Saccharomyces cerevisiae S288C: one gene and its partners. The gene in region 1 interacts genetically with each later gene. Each region holds a gene or a part of one and is shown in the gene's direction. Other genes may lie near its edges. The genes, in order: NAM7, SUP45, GCD11 and TIF2.

The links.
Region 2: of NAM7 (region 1) and SUP45, a mutation in one rescues a mutant of the other (synthetic rescue), as found in Saccharomyces cerevisiae (3 studies listed by BioGRID, with this or other methods).
Region 3: mutations in NAM7 (region 1) and GCD11 together harm fitness less than expected from each alone (positive genetic interaction), as found in Saccharomyces cerevisiae (2 studies listed by BioGRID).
Region 4: mutations in NAM7 (region 1) and TIF2 together harm fitness more than expected from each alone (negative genetic interaction), as found in Saccharomyces cerevisiae (2 studies listed by BioGRID).

Annotation. Positions count from the first base shown.
Region 1 is NC_001145.3:426,212-431,218, reverse strand, and holds NAM7 (ATP-dependent RNA helicase NAM7), read left to right. Parts: upstream 1-1,591; coding exon 1,592-4,507; downstream 4,508-5,007. Other genes in the region: ISF1 (Isf1p), read left to right, coding at 124-1,140. UniProt on the Saccharomyces cerevisiae protein: RNA-dependent helicase required for nonsense-mediated decay (NMD) of aberrant mRNAs containing premature stop codons and modulates the expression level of normal mRNAs. Also capable of unwinding double-stranded DNA and translocating on single-stranded DNA.
Region 2 is NC_001134.8:530,280-533,950, reverse strand, and holds SUP45 (translation termination factor eRF1), read left to right. Parts: upstream 1-1,768; coding exon 1,769-3,082; downstream 3,083-3,671. Other genes in the region: alcohol dehydrogenase ADH5, read right to left, coding at 1-189; YBR144C (uncharacterized protein), read left to right, coding at 402-716; MAK5 (ATP-dependent RNA helicase), read right to left, coding at 3,313-3,671. UniProt on the Saccharomyces cerevisiae protein: Component of the eRF1-eRF3-GTP ternary complex, a ternary complex that mediates translation termination in response to the termination codons. The eRF1-eRF3-GTP complex binds to a stop codon in the ribosomal A-site.
Region 3 is NC_001137.3:203,504-207,358, forward strand, and holds GCD11 (translation initiation factor eIF2 subunit gamma), read left to right. Parts: upstream 1-1,747; coding exon 1,748-3,331; downstream 3,332-3,855. Other genes in the region: carnitine O-acetyltransferase YAT2, read left to right, coding at 1-1,460. UniProt on the Saccharomyces cerevisiae protein: As a subunit of eukaryotic initiation factor 2 eIF2, involved in the early steps of protein synthesis.
Region 4 is NC_001142.9:152,944-156,496, reverse strand, and holds TIF2 (translation initiation factor eIF4A), read left to right. Parts: upstream 1-1,805; coding exon 1,806-2,993; downstream 2,994-3,553. Other genes in the region: YJL136W-A (uncharacterized protein), read right to left, coding at 245-328; glycogenin glucosyltransferase GLG2, read left to right, coding at 370-1,512; mannosyltransferase YUR1, read left to right, coding at 3,498-3,553.

The DNA of each region.
Region 1 (5,007 bases):
AACCACTTAGATTAAAGGTAATACACATAAATAGAAAGGTTTGCGTAAAATATTTCAGTTTGAATAATTATCTCCTCAGTGGAATAAAAAACATCAAAGAATAGAAATAGTCGCTGTATTTTGATGATTGCTTCAGAAATTTTTGAAAGAGGTGTACAAGATCCATTTTGTCAAGATTGTGATTATGAAGATGAAACAGACGTACAAAGTTTTTTAGGTTCAAATGATTTGAATGATTTTGTAAATTCCAAATTAGCGTCCTTTAGTTTTCAAAATTCCTCGAAATCAAATAATTCTCACCACAGCAGCAGTACCAATGCCGGTAATACAAGCAGACACATAGGCAATCATACTATTGGCCACCATTTGAGAAAAATCAAGACAGCTCCGCATCACTTGTATGGCTTCGTCCCAGCAAATTCAACGAACAATTCCAATGAACCAATTCGCCCTTCTCCAAGAAGAATAAGAGCAAATAGTAGCACCCTCATTCACCAGTTGTCCAGACAATCCACAAGACAGTCTTCCTTGGGCGACGCGGCGGATTCCTGTTTTGACCACAAATGCATAAAGCCAAGATCCAGGCATTCTTCCTGTTACGGTATACCAACACATCTATACGGCCTTGAAAAATACGTTTCATCCGAGCTAGACTCTCTAGCAGTAGCTAACGACCAGTCAAATGATCTCACTTCCCCATTAACATCTGTTTCAACACCCGCCTCGAATTCCAACTCGTATTTGAATCTGAATTCAAGTTCGGCTGCATATCCGTCGTCTTATCTCTCCAACGAAAAGAATAATCGACTAAAATTGATTTCCCATGGGAAAATATCATCAAATAACGTCCCAGGTCACAGTGGAAACCTTAACCACTATCACAGAGAACGAACGCCATCAAATCTAAGAAGAGAATCCTTTTCGCTTCTTTCCAATGGTTCCTCTTCCTCTCCCTTGCAGACTAGAAACAACTCGTATTCCAACTCTTTGGTGAAATCTCCTTCCAATAGTTCATTGAATACTAGTGTGGCTTCTTCTAACGAAGAATCTAGTCCTCACACTTCTAATTGCCTGGAGGAAAGGAATCCCAGGAGAAAATCATTCATAAAATTGTCACTAGCGAGTTCATTCTCCAATTGAAAACGAAACATATGCATCTGGCGAACTCCGTAATTCGCCTAACTTTTAATGAATTCATGAACGGGAAATAAGAAAAACAAAAAGAAAATATACATAGTTAGTTACTATCCACTCAATAATATTAAACGAGTGAATGCTTTTACTTTTAACTTTAGTTTAATCTTAATTTACATTATTTTAGTATCATCAGTTTCCCTTTGCTTACTTGATTTGGGAGGGACACCTTTATACGCTTTCGTACTAACTGATCAAATGAAAAGCTTACCAGAAACTTACGATGCTATTGTGAAGGAGAAAAAAAAAGCGAAAAGAGGCATCGTTTTAACGCACACTAACAGAAGACTCTATTTCTCTTGTCAGCCAACAAACGTTGAAGATTTCATCAGGAAAGAAGGAAGGGCAGCAAGACCGAATATACTTTTTATATTACATCAATCATTGTCATTATCAAATGGTCGGTTCCGGTTCTCACACTCCTTATGATATATCAAACTCTCCATCTGATGTAAATGTCCAACCCGCAACACAACTAAATTCCACCTTGGTGGAGGATGACGATGTAGATAATCAGCTATTTGAAGAGGCTCAAGTCACTGAGACTGGATTCCGTTCGCCTTCAGCTTCAGACAATTCATGTGCGTATTGTGGTATAGATTCTGCAAAGTGTGTCATCAAATGTAATTCATGTAAGAAATGGTTTTGTAACACTAAAAACGGTACAAGCAGCTCCCACATTGTTAATCACTTAGTTTTATCCCACCATAACGTAGTTTCTTTACATCCAGATTCTGACTTAGGGGATACCGTTTTGGAATGTTATAACTGTGGACGTAAGAACGTGTTTTTATTGGGATTTGTTTCCGCTAAAAGTGAGGCCGTGGTTGTTTTACTTTGTAGAATACCTTGTGCCCAGACGAAAAATGCGAACTGGGATACTGATCAATGGCAACCATTAATTGAAGACAGACAACTTTTATCATGGGTCGCAGAGCAACCAACTGAAGAAGAAAAATTGAAAGCTCGTTTAATCACTCCTAGCCAAATTTCCAAGTTGGAGGCAAAATGGAGATCCAATAAAGACGCTACAATTAATGATATTGACGCCCCAGAGGAACAGGAAGCAATCCCACCTTTACTATTGAGATATCAAGACGCCTACGAATACCAAAGATCTTACGGGCCTTTAATCAAATTGGAGGCCGACTATGATAAACAACTCAAGGAATCTCAAGCTTTAGAACATATTTCTGTTTCATGGTCCTTAGCTTTAAATAATAGGCATTTAGCATCTTTCACTTTATCTACTTTCGAATCTAACGAGTTGAAAGTTGCCATCGGTGATGAAATGATACTATGGTACTCTGGCATGCAACATCCTGATTGGGAAGGTCGTGGTTACATTGTTCGGTTACCAAATAGCTTCCAGGACACATTCACATTAGAGTTAAAACCAAGTAAAACGCCACCTCCAACACATTTGACCACTGGTTTTACTGCTGAGTTCATCTGGAAAGGTACCTCTTATGACAGGATGCAAGACGCATTGAAAAAATTTGCCATTGATAAAAAATCTATTTCAGGTTATTTGTACTATAAAATTTTAGGCCATCAAGTGGTTGACATTTCATTTGATGTCCCATTACCTAAGGAGTTTTCAATTCCGAATTTTGCACAATTAAACTCATCCCAGTCGAACGCTGTTAGTCATGTATTACAACGTCCGTTATCTTTAATTCAAGGCCCACCAGGCACTGGTAAAACAGTTACTTCAGCAACGATTGTGTATCACCTTTCCAAAATACACAAGGATAGAATATTGGTGTGTGCCCCATCAAACGTTGCTGTAGATCATTTGGCTGCCAAATTACGTGACTTGGGTTTAAAAGTTGTTAGACTTACCGCGAAAAGTAGAGAAGATGTGGAGAGTTCCGTCTCCAACTTAGCATTGCATAATTTGGTTGGCCGTGGTGCTAAAGGGGAATTAAAAAACCTATTAAAGTTAAAGGATGAAGTTGGCGAATTATCTGCTTCTGATACAAAACGGTTTGTTAAATTAGTAAGGAAAACAGAAGCAGAAATTCTCAATAAGGCAGATGTCGTATGTTGCACATGTGTTGGTGCTGGTGATAAGCGCTTAGACACTAAATTTAGGACTGTGTTAATTGATGAAAGTACTCAAGCTTCTGAGCCGGAATGTTTAATCCCAATCGTTAAAGGTGCGAAACAAGTTATACTTGTTGGTGATCACCAGCAACTGGGCCCAGTCATATTGGAACGAAAGGCGGCAGACGCTGGTTTGAAACAATCTCTCTTTGAAAGATTAATCTCTCTAGGCCACGTACCGATTCGTTTGGAAGTTCAATACCGTATGAATCCTTATTTGAGTGAGTTTCCAAGTAACATGTTTTATGAAGGCAGCCTACAAAATGGTGTAACGATTGAACAGCGTACCGTTCCCAACAGCAAATTCCCATGGCCAATTCGCGGTATACCAATGATGTTTTGGGCCAATTACGGTAGAGAGGAGATTTCTGCTAACGGTACTTCCTTCTTAAACAGAATTGAAGCCATGAATTGTGAACGAATCATCACTAAACTTTTCAGAGACGGTGTCAAGCCCGAGCAAATTGGTGTTATCACACCATATGAGGGACAAAGAGCTTATATTTTACAATATATGCAAATGAATGGTTCATTGGATAAGGATTTGTATATCAAAGTGGAAGTTGCCTCAGTTGATGCATTCCAAGGTCGTGAAAAGGATTACATAATCTTATCGTGTGTTCGTGCCAATGAACAACAGGCCATTGGTTTCTTACGTGATCCTCGTCGTCTAAACGTGGGTCTAACCCGTGCCAAATATGGTCTAGTTATTCTTGGTAATCCTAGATCTTTGGCAAGAAACACATTATGGAACCATCTGTTAATCCACTTCAGAGAGAAGGGTTGTTTAGTCGAAGGTACGTTGGATAACTTACAGTTATGCACTGTTCAATTAGTTCGTCCTCAGCCAAGAAAGACTGAACGGCCAATGAACGCTCAATTTAACGTAGAATCTGAAATGGGTGACTTTCCGAAGTTCCAGGATTTTGATGCACAGAGTATGGTGTCATTCAGTGGTCAAATTGGGGACTTTGGTAATGCATTTGTTGACAACACAGAACTTTCTTCTTACATCAATAATGAATATTGGAATTTTGAGAATTTTAAAAGTGCTTTTTCTCAAAAGCAAAATCGCAATGAAATTGACGATAGAAATTTGTACCAGGAGGAGGCTTCTCATTTGAACTCTAACTTCGCGAGAGAGTTACAGAGAGAAGAACAAAAGCATGAATTGTCAAAAGACTTCAGCAATTTGGGAATATAATTCGGTGAACCCTGTTAAAATAAAATGTTAAACTTGGCTTGTGATACAAAACGGCTCAACCGTGAAATGAGCGCTGCAAAATTATTCGAGATAGACTCGCAATTTGCACAATTGTAACCTGAAAAACTTTTTTTACTTTTCCGGAGGTGCATCTATCATTACAGTATGTGATAAAGGGGCATGGACTTGATATCCTAGCCTACTAATCTCTTTGCTAAAACATGTTGCAACCAAATAGGGCTACCATTGTACTTCTAATGAATACTCTTTACGGCGCACTGCAATGCGTAATAAAGTTTTATTGTAGCGAGGTTTCATTTTTGCTTATGTTCTTTTTATTGTTTAATACGTGCATATGTATTCTATAAGATAAATGTATATAACTGCCAACAAAATAAACTAAAATCAAGGTATGGCTGTAGAAAATGATACCACAGATAATAAAATAATAAATAATCTAATAGCTGAGTGGAAGAAAAAAAAAAAATAAAAAAAGAGTA
Region 2 (3,671 bases), on another chromosome or scaffold:
TTTCAATTGAAATGGCCAATCACCGTGCCACGCGTGCAAGTCACTATGACAAACACCAGAATATTTAACGTGGACTAAAATTTCGTTAGGCTTAGGTTCCGGAACTGTGACGTCTTTATATTCCAATTTTCCATCTGTCTCATAAAAGACAATAGCCTTTTGTTTTTCAGGAATGACTTGCGAAGGCATGATGCTTTGATTTTGTAGATATGTAGTTAAATAATTTTCTTAGGTATCTTCCAATCAGAGACATTGTGAGACAGTAAAGCAGTAGTTTGCGCTAGAAATATCTTGTAGTCCCTCTTTTATATTCGTAGTATGTTATATAGATTACAATCTAGACAATACGAAGGAACGATCCCGCGTCAGCAGATGTCACAATTTGATTATTTCATTGTCACATGCTTTTTGACTCATCCTTCCGCGAAAGGAGAACTTTTTACAATGCCGCCGGCTCTGTTAGCGTACCCTTCTACAAGCAGATAGCAGAACAAACACATGATATATTCAAAAGGTGCAATGTCAGAGAACATATATTGCGCCCCTGTCCTGTAGACATCAGTCATTTTTCGCGGGACTTGAATGGCGCACCATTATCCTATACAGAAAACATTAAATTTACTGCAAAATTTTGGGCAAACGCTTGGATAGACTATGAATCCGTCATGAAGACACTACTTGTAAAATTATATATATCCTTTTTTTTCATGTGCTAGTAAGAATTAGCAACTACTTTCATTCATCTTCGACGCAACTTCGAGGAAAGCACCTTTTTACTTGCTGTAGCTCTATTCTCTTCCCCAACCACCTTTTCCTTTATTCCAAAATTTTTAAAACTTTTTCTGTTACATTATATAATCTTCTGTCTGAAATGTTTGGATATAACGCCTCTTGATCCACTTTGTATATGCGTGCTATTTATTTTCAGATTTATAAAGAGTATGAGCGTCATTTACATAAATAGCTGAAGTTATTCATGGAAAATACGAAGAGCACGTATGTGAGCCAACAGAACATTTGACGTAAGACTCTACAATGTGCCAAGAACTGGACAAGTAGAGGACTGAGAACTTTATTTCAATTCATTGCTCCTTTTTGGTGGCGCTACCTTTAGCGAAGGTCAATGATGAATGTGCACATGCTGTCGAAACCAAAAAGCAAATTCTAACCAACTTCAAAATGACATAGTCATCTGATATTTCTACTCATTATAGATAGTATGGGAGCCTTGAAACGAAAAGTAAGTAAAAAGCTGGATATGAGCAGTATGAGGTAGACCTTAGCTACATCATTTCCCCCAATAGCTGCTGCAAATATCTGGTTAAATTTGTGATTCCATGAAGAGGATAACAGACTTGTTAAAAAGCATCCTGTCAAAATCTAATTTTTGAAGGGCAGTATTCAATTCATAATTTACTTTAGCTTAGATCCTTCCAATTTATACATGGTATTATAACCAGATCATAAACTACAATCTGTCGCTACCGCATGTACGAAGAATACTTAAGTCACTTGCTCTCTCATCATTTGTACATTTTTCAGTAATACCGTTTGATAGCGCCGTCTTTATTACCCGGATTATTCCGTTGACCCTGAATGAAAAATTTTTTCAGAAATCCAGTGCTAAGCGTCAAATCAATGAAATACATCACTGTATTTTTAACTGATATACTGTTGGTGTGGCCTTAACGACACCTTTATTTCTTAATTCATTTCGGCTTGTCTCCTTATTAAGACTACAGAAATAGACAAAGGAAATACTTCAATAATGGATAACGAGGTTGAAAAAAATATTGAGATCTGGAAGGTCAAGAAGTTGGTCCAATCTTTAGAAAAAGCTAGAGGTAATGGTACTTCTATGATTTCCTTAGTTATTCCTCCTAAGGGTCAAATTCCACTGTACCAAAAAATGTTAACAGATGAATATGGTACTGCCTCGAATATTAAATCTAGGGTTAATCGTCTTTCCGTTTTATCTGCTATCACTTCCACCCAACAAAAGTTGAAGCTATATAATACTTTGCCCAAGAACGGTTTAGTTTTATATTGTGGTGATATCATCACTGAAGATGGTAAAGAAAAAAAGGTCACTTTTGACATCGAACCTTACAAACCTATCAACACATCCTTATATTTGTGTGATAACAAATTTCATACAGAAGTTCTTTCGGAATTGCTTCAAGCTGACGACAAGTTCGGTTTTATAGTCATGGACGGTCAAGGTACTTTGTTTGGTTCTGTGTCCGGTAATACGAGAACTGTTTTACATAAATTTACTGTCGATCTGCCAAAAAAGCATGGTAGAGGTGGTCAATCTGCGCTTCGTTTTGCTCGTTTAAGAGAAGAAAAAAGACATAATTATGTGAGAAAGGTCGCCGAAGTTGCTGTTCAAAATTTTATTACTAATGACAAAGTCAATGTTAAGGGTTTAATTTTAGCTGGTTCTGCTGACTTTAAGACCGATTTGGCTAAATCTGAATTATTCGATCCAAGACTAGCATGTAAGGTTATTTCCATCGTGGATGTTTCTTATGGTGGTGAAAACGGTTTCAACCAGGCTATCGAACTTTCTGCCGAAGCGTTGGCCAATGTCAAGTATGTTCAAGAAAAGAAATTATTGGAGGCATATTTTGACGAAATTTCCCAGGACACTGGTAAATTCTGTTATGGTATAGATGATACTTTAAAGGCATTGGATTTAGGTGCAGTCGAAAAATTAATTGTTTTCGAAAATTTGGAAACTATCAGATATACATTTAAAGATGCCGAGGATAATGAGGTTATAAAATTCGCTGAACCAGAAGCCAAGGACAAGTCGTTTGCTATTGACAAAGCTACCGGCCAAGAAATGGACGTTGTCTCCGAAGAACCTTTAATTGAATGGCTAGCAGCTAACTACAAAAACTTCGGTGCTACCTTGGAATTCATCACAGACAAATCTTCAGAAGGTGCCCAATTTGTCACAGGTTTTGGTGGTATTGGTGCCATGCTGCGTTACAAAGTTAATTTTGAACAACTAGTTGATGAATCTGAGGATGAATATTATGACGAAGATGAAGGATCCGACTATGATTTCATTTAAATAAATAAAAGGGGGAGAAAAAAATCGAATCAAAAAGAATTTAATCACTAGATGCCAGATTTAAATTAAATTCGCTTTTAATTTTTTGTACAATATAATATATACTTGGTAAACCTTTTGCTCTATATTGAGCTAATTCCTTTGTTGAAAGTACATAGTGGGTTTAGAGGACCGTGTATATTACGTAGAAAATACAGTGAAAGGAGAGTTTCTCTTCAAAAGCCTCGAGATTAATTATTTCTCTTTTTCTTTTTCTTCAAAGTTTCTAAGGCGTTTGTCTTTTCATGACCAATGATAGAATTATGACCTCTTTTTTTGACCAAGTTATCAGCTAAATTCACTAGCCCACCTGTCAAATATTTCTGTCTTCTATCTTTACGTATAGGCACTGATAACAATTCGTTCAACGTAGCTCTCATGGCTTTTACCTTGTCCTTATTTATAGTCTTCTGCATTTTTTTATTTTTATTTTTTAGTAAGAAAGTGTCCGAATTACTCTTTGATATATCGTCTTCGTCGGAATCAACGTCAATACCTAATTCATCAGCAGCCTTTTTTAACCAATTGTCATCTTTTCTTAGGGAATTAG
Region 3 (3,855 bases), on another chromosome or scaffold:
CAGTCTTGAGATTAGCTAGAGACGTTAACGCCGGTGACCCACAGTTTTCACTCTGGCCTAACGTGACACAAATGGATCCTGAAACTAAAAAACTGATGACGGCGACCATAAGTGCCGACGGCGGAGGCCCTTCTGAAATTGACCCTAAGTTGGTTGTAAATAAAATCGATTGGTCTTTCAGTAACATCCTGAACACACATGTCCATTTGTCAGAAACCAAACTAGCTGATCTGATTTCCAAGTATGATATTGTTCGCGCTTCTATTCCATTGGGCAGAAGGTCAGCTCAAAGATTAGGAGTCAAGCCCGATTCGATGGTTCAAGTAGCTTTACAAATAGCTCACTATGCTTTGTATGGAAGAATGGTGTTTGGATTAGAACCAGTATCCACACGTGGTTTCAAAAACTCGAGATCATCTTTTATTAACATTCAAAGTCAAGCGCTGTTGGAACTATGTCAATTGTTTATTTCTAGCTCCATTGATGGGACAGATAAATTAGACAAATTTATCCAAACCTGCGAAACACATAATAACATGGTTAAACATGCAAAGTCTGGGGTAGGTTATGAAAAACACTTCAATGCATTGAAATATCTCTTCAAATTTCATGACCATTTTGGTATCCACTTAAGTGGTGATGAATCATCTGCTGCGAAAGATCTTTTCGAAAATCCACTTGTTTTACCTTTCTCACAGCCTGAGTTGATTGTTGCCAACTGTGGTAATGCTGCTACCACGACATTTGGTATAACTCCTGCTGTACCTCATGGCTTTGGAATAGGGTACATCATTAAAGATGATCAAGTAGATTTGACCGTGACATCGCAATTTCGACAGGGTGACAGGTTAATGTTTATGTTAAGTTGGGTGTTAGGCGAAATTCGTTCCTACTGGAGGATGTCACGCGGCACTTCTCATAATAAAACTGGCGTGAAGATCAGTCCAGTGGTCGATAAATTGTATGAAATGGACAATGCAGTCAATAATCCTCCGAAACGTAACGGCCATACAGTCAATGGCTCCCGCAAAACATCTTCTTCATCACAGGTAAATTTGAACAGGTATGGCGGGTTTTTCGATTTGGAAGGCCACATTGACAGTAGGAATATATCTAAAACACCATCGATGAAGAATTTGCAGAAAACCTTCAATGGCTTGACCATGAGCGCAGACAATGATCATTCAAGTTCCGCAGTTTCCGTTCCCACAGAAAAGGAAAAATTAAATACAGGCCATGAAATTTTACAGATCCAACCGCGGGAAGTGGCAAGTAATGGGTTGGAAGCAGATGATGAGACAGATATTGAAATAGTTGCTGGCAATGCTGATGGCACATCCTCTTCGGCATCTTCAGCTACATCTCTAAATTCCAAGAAACGTAACGTCATCAACTCAAGATTCGATATTGATTTTGACCGCAGTCGTGTGGGTAGAAAGGTGGCGACCTTAGATCAATAAGAACGCTCTTTGTTTATCTATTTATTACTAGCATTATGCGTAAGCTTGGCGTGATGTGATATATACTTGTTATATGAAGTATATCAATATGCTTTAATTTATGCTTATTATTTGCTCTCATGTCAGTAACCCGGACCAGATTTGCCATTGAAAAAATTTTCATAGAATAGCCCGATGCTGATCATCAGTACAAAAGACAGAGATTTCATCTCGACCTGTACCAGGAGCTAAGCAAAGAGGGCGGAAAGAGCGTAATACACCGTTAACATCGCGCATTAGAGGTAGACATGAGTGACTTACAAGACCAAGAACCTAGCATTATTATCAACGGTAATTTGGAACCAGTTGGTGAACCAGATATCGTTGAAGAAACGGAAGTTGTAGCTCAAGAAACACAAGAAACACAAGATGCTGATAAGCCAAAGAAGAAAGTCGCCTTCACTGGCTTGGAAGAAGACGGGGAAACTGAAGAAGAAAAAAGGAAAAGGGAATTTGAAGAAGGTGGTGGTTTGCCCGAACAACCATTAAACCCTGATTTTTCAAAATTAAACCCACTATCCGCCGAAATTATCAACAGGCAAGCTACAATAAACATCGGTACCATCGGTCATGTCGCCCACGGTAAATCCACAGTAGTTAGGGCTATTTCAGGTGTCCAAACAGTCCGTTTTAAGGATGAATTAGAACGTAACATTACTATTAAGTTAGGTTACGCTAATGCTAAAATTTATAAATGTCAAGAGCCTACATGTCCCGAACCTGATTGTTATAGATCATTCAAATCTGATAAAGAAATCAGTCCTAAATGTCAAAGACCAGGTTGTCCGGGGCGTTACAAATTGGTCCGTCACGTTTCTTTTGTTGACTGTCCCGGTCACGATATCTTAATGAGTACTATGTTATCAGGTGCTGCTGTTATGGATGCTGCGTTACTGTTGATTGCAGGTAATGAATCTTGTCCACAACCTCAAACCTCAGAGCATTTAGCTGCCATTGAAATCATGAAATTAAAGCACGTCATCATCTTACAGAATAAGGTCGATTTAATGCGTGAAGAAAGTGCCTTAGAACACCAAAAATCCATCTTGAAGTTCATCAGAGGTACCATTGCTGACGGTGCTCCTATTGTACCAATATCCGCTCAGTTGAAGTATAACATCGACGCAGTTAATGAATTTATTGTCAAGACTATTCCCGTACCACCAAGAGATTTTATGATTTCTCCAAGGTTAATTGTTATTCGTTCATTTGATGTTAATAAGCCAGGTGCTGAAATCGAGGACCTGAAAGGTGGTGTTGCCGGTGGTTCTATTTTGAATGGTGTTTTCAAATTAGGTGATGAAATTGAGATTAGACCAGGTATTGTCACCAAGGATGATAAGGGTAAAATTCAATGTAAACCAATCTTTTCTAACATTGTCTCCTTATTTGCCGAACAAAATGACTTGAAGTTTGCTGTTCCCGGTGGTCTGATTGGTGTTGGTACTAAAGTTGATCCTACCTTGTGTAGAGCTGATCGTCTTGTCGGTCAAGTCGTCGGTGCTAAGGGTCATTTGCCAAACATTTATACTGATATCGAAATCAACTACTTTTTGCTACGTCGTCTATTAGGTGTCAAAACAGATGGTCAAAAGCAAGCCAAAGTCAGAAAATTAGAGCCAAATGAAGTTCTTATGGTCAACATTGGTTCTACCGCTACGGGGGCTCGTGTGGTTGCCGTTAAAGCTGATATGGCAAGATTACAGTTAACGTCGCCCGCTTGTACTGAAATTAACGAGAAGATTGCTTTGTCGAGACGTATCGAAAAGCATTGGCGTTTGATTGGTTGGGCAACCATTAAAAAGGGTACTACATTGGAACCCATCGCTTAAGGAACCAATAAAACCACTGCAAAGACAAAAATTTCATAATTAATCTGAAAGAAAGTGAAGATAAGAAACGGGCTAGGAGGAAGGGAAACTGACACTTCTGGTTATTGCAATATGCTCATATACATTGATGCGTAATGACATTGATGATCTTTATTCTCTTTTTATAACGTTTTCTTTCTTTTTTTTTCCTTCTTACATAGTATTCAACTGTATATTTAACATGTTTTACGTATTTTTAAGAAAAAATTACTAAACGCGATAATATTAAGCAAATATTTATCTCATAGTTCTCGAACTCATTTATTTCCCATTGATGCCATGAAAACCTCTCAAACCTTTATCGTCTAGTTACACCAGTAGTCAATAAACTGCCTTTCTTTTTTTACACCCAACATACTCTACACTAAATCTTATCGGTGGTTTGTACATGGAGACAATTGCACAAAGATAATGAAGCTCCAAAATTATTCAGTATCTATTGAGTATATATAACCTTGAAAAGGTTTTATTTTATATAAGTTCGC
Region 4 (3,553 bases), on another chromosome or scaffold:
CTATCATTTATTTTCTATTATATTATCAATATTTAATCTATATATAACTTACGTACATGCAACAACTACAATAACAAAAGAACAATAAAAAAAGAACATATATCAAGAGGCAAAGACGGAAAATAAGGCACTGATGTGCCAATCTAGGTAGATTTTTCGTTATCCTTGAAATAGCACTGTTCGAAAACAAAATCGCATTGATTCGTCACCGCGCGGTAGCCGTTAAGGGTTTTGTTTACACTTACTATGACATATAAAGATGAGGGGAGTAGATCAAGGATAGCGCATCCACCTCCAAAAGCATTTTTTTACTTATACATCGTGTCATTTTTTTGAATATCTATCAGAAGTAAGGTTTGTTACGGAGCTATGGCCAAGAAAGTTGCCATCTGTACATTGCTGTATTCACGGGACTATTTACCTGGCGCATTGACTTTAGCGTACCAATTACAAAAACTCTTGAAACACGCTGTAGTGGAAGATGAGATAACCTTATGCCTGCTAATTGAAAAAAAATTGTTTGGAGATGAGTTTAAACCTCAGGAAATAGCTTTAATTAGAAGTCTTTTTAAAGAGATTATCATTATTGAACCGCTAAAGGATCAAGAGAAGAGCATAGAGAAGAATAAGGCAAATCTTGAACTGTTGAAAAGGCCTGAGCTATCTCATACTTTACTCAAGGCTAGACTGTGGGAACTGGTGCAGTTCGATCAGGTTTTATTTTTAGATGCTGATACTTTACCATTAAATAAAGAATTTTTTGAAATCCTACGATTATACCCTGAACAAACAAGATTCCAGATTGCTGCGGTTCCAGACATCGGATGGCCTGACATGTTCAACACCGGTGTACTACTACTAATTCCTGATTTAGATATGGCAACAAGTTTACAAGATTTTTTGATTAAAACTGTATCGATTGATGGTGCTGATCAAGGAATCTTCAATCAATTTTTTAATCCTATTTGCAACTACAGCAAAGAGGTTTTGCATAAGGTGTCTCCACTCATGGAATGGATACGCCTCCCCTTCACCTACAACGTAACCATGCCCAACTACGGATACCAGTCTTCACCAGCCATGAATTTTTTCCAACAACACATCAGACTTATTCACTTCATTGGAACGTTTAAGCCATGGTCCCGTAATACAACTGACTATGACGACCACTATTACCAGCTGTGGAGAAGTACACAGCGTGAACTTTATAGTGAATGCCACTTAAGTAACTACTTCACACACTTGCAATTGGGCAATATTGAAACAGAGACAAATTTTTACCACGAACCTCCTTGTCTTCAAGACCTGTTGAATCATGGTAAAAGAGAAAATCAAAAGCACGTTGACCTGGATATAACCTCAGTAGATCGAAATGCTTCGCAGAAGAGTACTGCAGAGAAACATGATATTGAGAAACCGACATCTAAGCCGCAATCTGCTTTTAAATTTGATTGGGAGTCTACGGATTATTTAGACCGCGTCCAAAGAGCATTCCCAAAGCCTGATACCTGATGCCATCCCTCTACCTCTTAGCTATCAATCATTCAACTAAACTACTACATAGTATACATTAGCTGTACAGTCGTCACATCAGACGAATACAAAAGGCCGGGTGAAAGCGTTGATTTTGCGTACCTTTTTCTTTTTTTCGAAATTTTTTTATTTTTTTTTCAGCATCATATATAAAAGAAATCTCATCTCAAGGAGAAGGAAACAGCAGATCCCAATACACATAGTAGGAAAAAAAAAGGTTCGCTAAACAAAGGACTGGTGTGTACAAGAAACTAATAAATAGTAATTGCAATATGTCTGAAGGTATTACTGATATTGAAGAATCCCAAATTCAAACCAACTATGACAAGGTCGTCTACAAGTTCGATGATATGGAATTGGACGAAAACTTGTTAAGAGGTGTTTTCGGTTACGGTTTCGAAGAACCATCTGCCATTCAACAACGTGCCATCATGCCTATTATTGAAGGTCACGATGTCTTGGCTCAAGCTCAATCTGGTACTGGTAAGACCGGTACTTTCTCCATTGCTGCTTTGCAAAGAATTGACACCTCTGTCAAGGCTCCTCAAGCTTTGATGTTGGCTCCAACTAGAGAATTGGCTTTGCAAATCCAAAAGGTTGTCATGGCTTTGGCTTTCCACATGGACATCAAGGTCCACGCTTGTATCGGTGGTACTTCCTTTGTTGAAGACGCTGAAGGTTTGAGAGATGCTCAAATCGTCGTTGGTACTCCAGGTCGTGTTTTTGACAACATCCAAAGACGTAGATTCAGAACTGACAAGATCAAGATGTTCATCTTAGATGAAGCTGATGAAATGTTGTCTTCTGGTTTCAAGGAACAAATCTACCAAATTTTCACCTTACTTCCACCAACCACTCAAGTTGTTCTATTGTCCGCCACCATGCCAAATGACGTCTTGGAAGTTACCACCAAATTTATGAGAAACCCAGTTAGAATTTTGGTTAAGAAGGATGAATTGACTTTGGAAGGTATCAAACAATTCTACGTTAATGTTGAAGAAGAAGAATACAAATACGAGTGTTTGACCGATTTATACGACTCTATCTCCGTTACTCAAGCTGTCATCTTCTGTAACACCAGAAGAAAGGTCGAAGAATTGACCACTAAGTTAAGAAACGACAAATTTACCGTTTCTGCCATCTATTCTGATTTACCACAACAAGAAAGAGACACCATCATGAAGGAATTCAGAAGTGGTTCTTCCAGAATTTTGATCTCCACTGATTTGTTGGCTAGAGGTATCGATGTCCAACAAGTTTCTTTGGTTATTAACTACGACTTACCAGCTAACAAAGAAAACTATATTCACAGAATCGGTAGAGGTGGTCGTTTCGGTAGAAAGGGTGTTGCCATCAACTTTGTTACTAACGAAGACGTTGGCGCTATGAGAGAACTAGAAAAGTTCTACTCCACTCAAATTGAAGAATTGCCATCCGACATTGCTACCTTGTTGAACTAATCTCTAAGGAGAAGAAATCCATAACTATATTACCTTTATCTTATCTTGACCCCCTATATGATATTATTTTGCCCATATTTGTTTTTATTATTGATTATCCTTTTATTGTCTTTTTGTTAGGGATATTTCATAATAAATATTTGAATATATAATATGTACAATAATTAAATAATTTTCTGATTATTCCTTCAATATTTTGTGTTGAAAATTTGCTTTAAATGTATTCTTTAATTAAATTCTTTATTCGCTATACCTGCCACATAACCACTTTCCCCTTCATTTTCTTCTTTTCTTTGTGTGTGAAGAGTAACTAGCTGTTTTACTGGTCGCTTTGGAAATTTTCTATACATTTTTTTAATAAAGGAAAGTTAAAGACAAAGTACTACGCCTCTTTATTTTTCATCTGCAGAAATAATCTGTCACTGCTTATTCATATCATCTCCAAATCTAATGCTTGGAAGTCGCTATCAAAATTAAAGAAGTTTATCATCAGAAATTGTTAAAATGGCAAAAGGAGGCTCGCTATACATCGTTGGCATATTCTTACCAATATGGACCTT